2 linked regions of the Mus musculus genome follow. The protein of the gene in region 1 interacts with the protein of each later gene in a biochemical or structural test. Links are inferred from orthologs where the notes say so. Each region holds a gene or a part of one and is shown on either strand. Other genes may lie near its edges. The genes, in order: Racgap1 and Ect2.

Evidence for each region.
Region 2: the proteins of Racgap1 (region 1) and Ect2 form a complex in vitro, tested with the Homo sapiens proteins (3 studies listed by BioGRID and IntAct, with this or other methods). The link is inferred for Mus musculus from reciprocal best matches to the Homo sapiens genes RACGAP1 and ECT2.

What each region holds. Positions count from the first base shown.
Region 1 is NC_000081.6:99,627,351-99,631,169, reverse strand, and holds part of Racgap1 (rac GTPase-activating protein 1), read left to right. Parts: coding exon 1-61; intron 62-2,371; coding exon 2,372-2,536; intron 2,537-3,819.
Region 2 is NC_000069.6:27,143,729-27,147,547, reverse strand, and holds part of Ect2 (protein ECT2), read left to right. Parts: intron 1-528; coding exon 529-711; intron 712-1,502; coding exon 1,503-1,592; intron 1,593-2,488; coding exon 2,489-2,596; intron 2,597-3,819. UniProt on the Homo sapiens protein: Guanine nucleotide exchange factor (GEF) that catalyzes the exchange of GDP for GTP. Promotes guanine nucleotide exchange on the Rho family members of small GTPases, like RHOA, RHOC, RAC1 and CDC42.

The sequences.
Region 1 (3,819 bases):
CAATTTGGGCACACCTCAGAATACTGGAGGCATGCGCTTGCACGACTTCGTCTCAAAGACGGTAAGTCTGACATGGCTTCATTTCTTCTGAGGCAATTAGTGTGATTTTGGAGACAGATTCATTCTTTGTAGCCCAGGTTGGCCTCCAGCTCTGTTGTACCTTCTGCTTTGGCCTCCAGCATGCTGGGATTGTAGCACCTTCTCACCTCTCCTGTTTGGTTATCTTTTTATTTAGGGGGCTGGGGACATTGTTTCTTTTTGTTTAGCTTGTTTTGTTTTTTTCAAGACAGGATTTCTCTGTGTAGCCCCAATGCTATTGGAATTCCATCTGTGTCAGGCTGGCCATGAATTTGAGATTTACCTGCCTCTGCCTCCCAAGTGCTGGGATTAAAAGGGTGAACATCTACACGAGACTTTATTGGGCTGATTTTATATACACTCACATATGCTAATTTTATTCAAAGAAAATGACTGTTTTCTTTCTTTTTTTAATATATTTTTAATTTTGTTTATTTATTATACATAAGTACACTGTAGCTGTCTTCAGACACCCCAAAAGAGGGCATCAGATCTCATTACAGGTGGTTGTGAGCCACCATGTGGTTGCTTGGATTTGAACACAGAACCTCCGGAAGAGCAGTCAGTGCTCTTTCTTACCTGCTGAGCCATCTCGCCAGCCCAGAAATGACAATTTTCCATGTCCCTGCTGAGTGGGGGCGTGCACATGCCATGGCTGGTTCTCCCTCCACCATAAGCATCCTGGGGATTGAACCCAGGCCATTCGGCTTGGTGGCAGTGCCTTTACCCACAGGACTTTTGGTAGAGCAGTTGATGCTCTTAACTGCTGAACCATCTCTTCAGCAACCCCCCCTTTAATTTCTTTAAAATTACCTTCATGATATTGCTGATCTTAGTGTAGGGTGTCAGGTCATTTGGAGTGGGAACTATAGGCAATTGTGAGCTGCCCAATGAGTGCTGGGAATTGGATTGTGTGCTTTGCAAGAATAATAAGTTCTCTTAGGCTCTGAGTTGTCTTTGTAGCTCCATTGGCCTCTGCCATGCTGGAATTATAGGTGTGAGCCACCGTTGCCTGGCTTTGCTCATCCATTTAAATGTACAACCTGCTGACATTCAGCGTAGTCATATAATTGGGTATCTGTCAACAGTAGCAATTTTAGAACAGTTTTACCCCCAAAAGTGAAATCCTAAACCTAATAGAATTTCCCCCACTGTCCTATGCCACACCAACATCCAGTAGCCATTGGCTGCCACCATAGACACCACTCTTGTCTCTATGGGCTGTCTATTGTAAGACATTTCCTATACACGAGGCATATAGTATGTGTGCCTTTGTGTCTGGCCTCTCTCAGTCAGTCACCCCTTCTCTAGCCTGTTTGTTTTGTTTCTCTTTATTAATTTGATGAATGATGTCACCTATATGGAAAGCATATGCCGCATATCCATCCATCAGTGGACAGAGCTTGAGGGTTTTCTATCTTCATCTGCTACATATGTGCACAAATGTCTCGTAGACGTTTTTGTTCCTGTTGGATATGCGTCTCTAGAAGTGGTGTTGCTGGGTCGTTTTGTAGCTATGCTTATCTTTCTGAGGTTCTCCTAGACCTTCCCTCAGGTGGCTACTGTATTTTATTTTACATTGCTGAGTAGTGTATGACTTTCAGCTTCTCTAGATTTTGTCAACACTTACTAAACGTATGACAAGCTCTGTTCTTTGAGAATTTCAGACATGCATGTAGTGTGTGGAGACCCCGTTCTCTGGCCCTCTAAAACATCTCAACACGCTGCCGCACTCAGCATCATGTCCTCTTTTTATTTTTTAGTAATTAATTGCGTCTCATTAGTGCTGCCGTGTATGCATAGGTATGAGGATTCATGCACTGGAGCACGAGAAACGTCTCTGCAGCCTCCAGAGAACAGCCACTCCTACGTTCTGCAGCACGGGTCGGGGAAGGGCTCCTAAGGATCCACCCCTAACTGAGGAGGGATTGGCAGTTGGCCTTTTGTCTTTTTTTCTTCATCTTCCTCCTCTTCTTTTTTTTGAGACAGGGCTTCATTTTGTAGCCCGGGTTGGTTTTGAGCTCACAGAGATCCAGTTGCCTTTGTCTCCTAGGTACTTGAATTAAAGCATGTCACCATGTTCACCAGAGCACTGCTATGATTAAAATGAAGAAAACAAGACCTATTTTACAGTTTTTGTTGTTGCTATTGTTGTTGTGGTGGTGGGAATTATTATATTAGCATGTGTGATGGGCCTAAAATGTTGTTTCATACACACTGTGCGCTTGATGCATGTGGTTGACAATAACTGTTATTCATATTATTCTATGCTTCTGCCCTGTTGTATCTTCAGGTTATTAAGCCTGAATCTTGTGTTCCGTGTGGAAAGCGGATCAAGTTTGGCAAGCTGTCTCTGAAGTGTCGAGACTGTCGTTTGGTCTCCCATCCAGAATGTCGGGACCGATGTCCCCTTCCCTGCATCCCCCCCCTGGTGGGGACACCGGTTAAGATTGGAGAGGTAAGTATCATGGCAGCCAACCACCATTTGTCTGTAAAAGGCATAGTGTCAGGTTTTTATTTTAAAATTATTGATCTTAAAAAAAAAAAAAAAAAAAAAAAAAAAAAAGCCAGGCATGGTGGCACACGCCTTTAATCCCAGCATTTAGGAGGCAGAGGCAGGCGGATTTCTGAGTTCGAGGCTGGCCTGGTCTACAGAGTGAGTTCCAGGACAGCCAGGGCTATACAGAGAAACCCTGTCTCGAAAGAAAACCAAAAAAAATAAAATAATAATAATAATAAATATATATATAAAATTATTGATCTCAAATAAAATTTCCCTCCATGAAAAATGAATAGAAATAGTAAAATGTCAGAATGTTGTTTGGACCTTTCTACAGCAGGTCGTCGTCGTCGTCGTCGTCGTCCCCCCCCCCCCCCCCCCGCTCCTAGGAAGATCTCACACATGCACAGTAGCCATTCTTATAGCCTACCCCTGGCTCCTACCATTTAACTTTACAGTCGTGAACTCAAAGCTGTTCTTGTCCTCGATCTTACCTGGTGAATTCTTTCTTATTCTCTTTCTTCTTATTATTGTTATTAATATTTTGATTTTTTTCAAGACAGGGTTTCTTTGTGTTTCCCTGGCTGTCCTGGAATTTGCTCTGTAGACCAGGCTGGCCTTAAACTTGGAGATCCACCTGCCTCTGCCTCCTGAGTGCTGGGATTAAAGGCCTCTGCCACGATGCCTGTTTTATTTTATAAAAATTATCAGTTTATTTAGGTCTAGTCAAAAAACTCAAAGACTGATTTAATTACTATTATGTATGTGTGTGTGTGTGTGCATGTGCATACCAGAGCCTCTCTAGCTGTAGTTACAGGTGGTTGTGAGGCATGGGACATGGTCCTTAGCACTAGAAAGAAGGTGTGAAACTCTGGCAGTGTCAAAGCTGTTGTGTACTAAGGTACAACTTGTGTATTGTGTGTAATAAGTGCCTTGACTGTACTGTTATTCCAAATGTAAGTCCATCATCTTCTCAGCTGTGGAGCTTCTCCAGGCTGCTTTTCCCTGCCAGACCATATCACAGAGCAGCCCTGACGCTCCTGTACGGGGCTTTAGATGCCAGCACGAAACTGAGTAGTGGTTACTTCTTGTTGAGTGCAGAGCTAATGTAGGCCTAGCCAAGACTCGAGAGGGAAGAGATTGTTACCTTCAGTAGGCAAGGGGTATACTGGGATCATCCGCTCTCAAAGATCTCCAGCTCAGGATCCAGACTCAGAGATCTGCTTCCCTCTGTGCCACCA
Region 2 (3,819 bases), on another chromosome or scaffold:
ATATGTAGATTATCATTTTTCTTGCTCAGAATAAAAACTGGTGGATATATACCTAAATCAAAATACATGTACTTACATTTTTTTAAAAGTGTAGCCTAGTGGCTCATATCTATAATTTTATCACTCAGTAGTTCATGGGTAGAGTGCTTGCCTAGCATGCTCTGAGTTCTAGGTTTGATCCCTATTACTACCAACAACTAAAACTACAACCCTGGAAAGGAAAGTACCTGGTGTTCTATTCTAGTACCTGGAACTTACTGTGCATGCTAGGTGGCTTATAGACCAGAGTCAGAGAGCCTGTGCTTATGTCTTCAGAGCAAGGTCTTAATGTGTATGGGGTTATATGACGTATAAAGTAGAGAAATATGATTCTACACTGTTATATGTTATGTTGGTAATTATAGACTTTAACAGTTAAAATTTCTAAAAAGATGTCAAAAAAATACAGGAGTCAATTTTAGGGAGTCGTATATTATTTTATATGACCTATGAATTATTTTTATTTGTAATAACTATGAAAAAATCCAGGAAATGAAAGTGCCCTGTGTAAAGATGGACTCAATGGAAGAATTTGAAAGTTTGGATTCCCCAGAATTTGAGAATATATTTGTAGTTACTGACTTCCAGAATTCTGTCTTCAATGACTTATACAAGGCTGATTGTAGGATTGTTGGGCCACCAGTTATACTCAACTGTGCACAAAGGGGAGAGGTAAGAAACGTACGTTTGTCATCTCAAGAATACATTTTTATTAATGCATTCTTTGAAAATTTATAATTAGAAAATGCTGTTAATTGTCGAGTACACGTAGCACTTAGGATAAGAATAATTTGTTGTTGCTGGGTATGGTGGCTCATGCCATGAGTCCTGGCTTCCAAGAAGGTGCACACATAAGCCATTCTCTTTTCCACTTAAAACTAGTATTATATCCATTATCATACGATTTAAATTAGAAAAATTATTTTAGGTTTTTTCTTTTTCCTTTTCTTCTTCTTCTTCTTTTTTTGTTTTTGTTTTTGTTTTTGTTTTTTTGGAACAGGGTTTCTCTGTATGGCCCTGGCTGTCCTGTAACTCACTCTGTAGACCAGGCTGGCCTTGAACTCAGAGATTCACCTGCCTCTGTCTGTGAGTGCTGGGATTAAAGGTGAGCGCTACCACGCCCAGCGCTTTTTATTTCTTTTTGATGTGTATTTGAATGAGTATGAAGGTGTATGTGAGTGTGTGAACCTTGGGTATTGAAAAGTTAACTGGTGCCAGGTGTGGTGGCACATGCCTTTAATCCCAGCACTTGGGAGGCAGAGGCAGGCCTGGTCTACAGAGTGAGCTCCAGAACAGCCAGGGCTACACAGAGAAATCCTGTCTTGAAAAAACAAACAAACAAACAAACCAAAACAAAAGACAGAAAAGTTAACGGGTAAAGAGTGAAATCTTTAAGCATGAGGAAATGCTTTCTCAATGCTAACGGAGAAGGAGGCTCATGAGTTTGGAATTGTGTCCTCCAGCCCTTGCCGTTTTCCTGCCGGCCGCTGTATTGTACGAGTATGCTGAACCTGGTGCTCTGCTTCACTGGATTCAGGAAGAAGGAGGAGCTTGTAAGTATGAGACCCTGACCTAGTAACGCAGGGTTAGATTGCATCCAGCCATCATTTCTGTTTGGTGTTGTGACGTCATTTAAAAACTCATGTTTGTAAGTGATAGTTGGCCCATGAATTCCTAGAAAGTTGCATAACTGTGAACTCTTTTACTCTCTTGTTAATTATTAGTTATACTGGTCAACTGAAGGTTTGTAACAAAATGAATACTGCTTTAAAGCAAGCTAAACTTTAAAGTACTTTTACCTTGATGAATAAGCCATAGAAACTTTTTTTGGTTCACAATTATTTCCTAAGTTGGAACTAGTAAGTATTACTGTAATTTTGTGGGAAGAATGTTGATGTTATATAACCTGATATTAAAACTCAATATTTTGGTGCTGGAGAGATGGCTCAGTGGTTAAGAGCACTTGCTGCTCATTAGAGGACAAAAGTTTGGTTCCCAGCACCCGTGTCTGGTCTCAGAGCTGCCTATAATAGCAGCTCTGGGGGACGCTGCTTCTGGCCTCTGTGGGTACCTACTTGTGTGTGTGTATACTCTCAGACACATAAATAAAGATAAAGTGTAAGAAAAGAAATTGATATATTTGTTTGTGGGTATATGGCTTTGGCTTCAATTCCCAATATTGTTAAAAAAAAATAGAAGGTGAATAAATGAAAATACTACATCTGTGTGTTTAGGCAGTATCAGAGTTGGTTGCCTATTATTAGCTTAATACTCTGTGTATTGCTTATCTTTGTTATAGATTTACATGTAGCAAGAACTACTTTTTTTTAACAAGCTACTCTTTTAAAAGTGTTTTTTTAAAGTTTTGTAAAGTAGTTAATGCTAAATGACTTAGTACAAATTTTGCTCAAATTAATTAAAATCAATTTTGTTTAATTTTTCTTTTGAGGTCAAATTGGTGACGTTGGTTCATCATATGGGTGGAGTTATTCGAAAAGAGTGTAATTCCAAAGTAACACATCTGGTGGCAAATTGTACACAAGGCGAAAAATTTAGGGTATGTAAGCTTACTGTTTTTGTCTTTTCAGTATAGTATTACTCTGTAATGTTTATTTTGAGACGATCATATACCATTTAGAAACGATTGTGTAGGCCAGGTTAGCCTTGAACTCATTAGTATCCTCCAGTTCCCAGCTCCTTCATAGGCATGATCTACCAAGCCTGGCTTGTGTCTAATAATGTCACTCCTCTGTTGATGGTACGTTTTTTTGAGGATCAGATGGAGGTTGTCATTGGAAAGTCAGTAAAGGGTTTGTGACATAGCTTAGCTACTGAGTGCTTGCTTAGCACACATAGCCCAGCATACCTGTCCTGATAGTGCACGAGTATAATCCCAGCATGGAGACCACTGTGGAGACAGGAGAATCAGTTAAATACTGCCTTTTCCTGCTGTTTGCAGTTAGCCGGTGTTATGTAAGTCCCTGTCTCAAAGATAAAACCTTGAAGGAGACTGAAGTTAGATGTTGAAATGTGTGATGTGGGCTGGGCATGGTGGCGCACGCCTTTAATCCCAGCACTTGGGAGGCAGAGGCAGGTAGATTTCTGAGTTCGAGGCCAACCTGGTCTGCAAAGTGAGTTCCAGGACAGCCAAGGCTACACAGAGAAACCCTGTCTCAAAAAGCCAAAAAAAAAAAAAAAAAGAAAAGAAAAGAAATGTGTGATGTGAGGGGTGGTTGGTAGGTAGTATTGGTAGTAAAGGCTGTATGACCAGCAGTGGCAGCTAGGTCAAGGAGTGAGAACAGATATTTCACTGTTGGCTTTATGAAAAGAAAGCCCTCTTAGAAAACAAACCTGTGTCTTTGAATGTCTAAATTATCTATATATTTTCTTAAAAAGAATTTTTTAAAAAGGAGAAAATATTTTATATTTTTCTCTCAAGAGAGGGTCTTTTTATGTTTGGATTTTGTTTGTGATAGGGTCTCTATTTTTGTAACCCTGGTTGTGGATAGACCAGGGGGTCCTGAAACTCAGAGAACCCCCCCTTCTTCTCAAGTTCTGGGATGACAGGTATGCATCGTGTCTGCCCATGTTGCCTAGCCTAGCCGCAGACTCGTTATCTTTTGCCTCAGCCTCCCAGGGGTTGGGATTATTGTACTATGCTACTGTGTCACCTGACACTAACTTACTTGGGTAGGAATCTATTGTCAGCTGCAGTTGAGTTGTGCATTCGATTTATTTTGGGTGTGTCTGTGTTTGCATGTGGGTGTGTGCTTGTGCCAT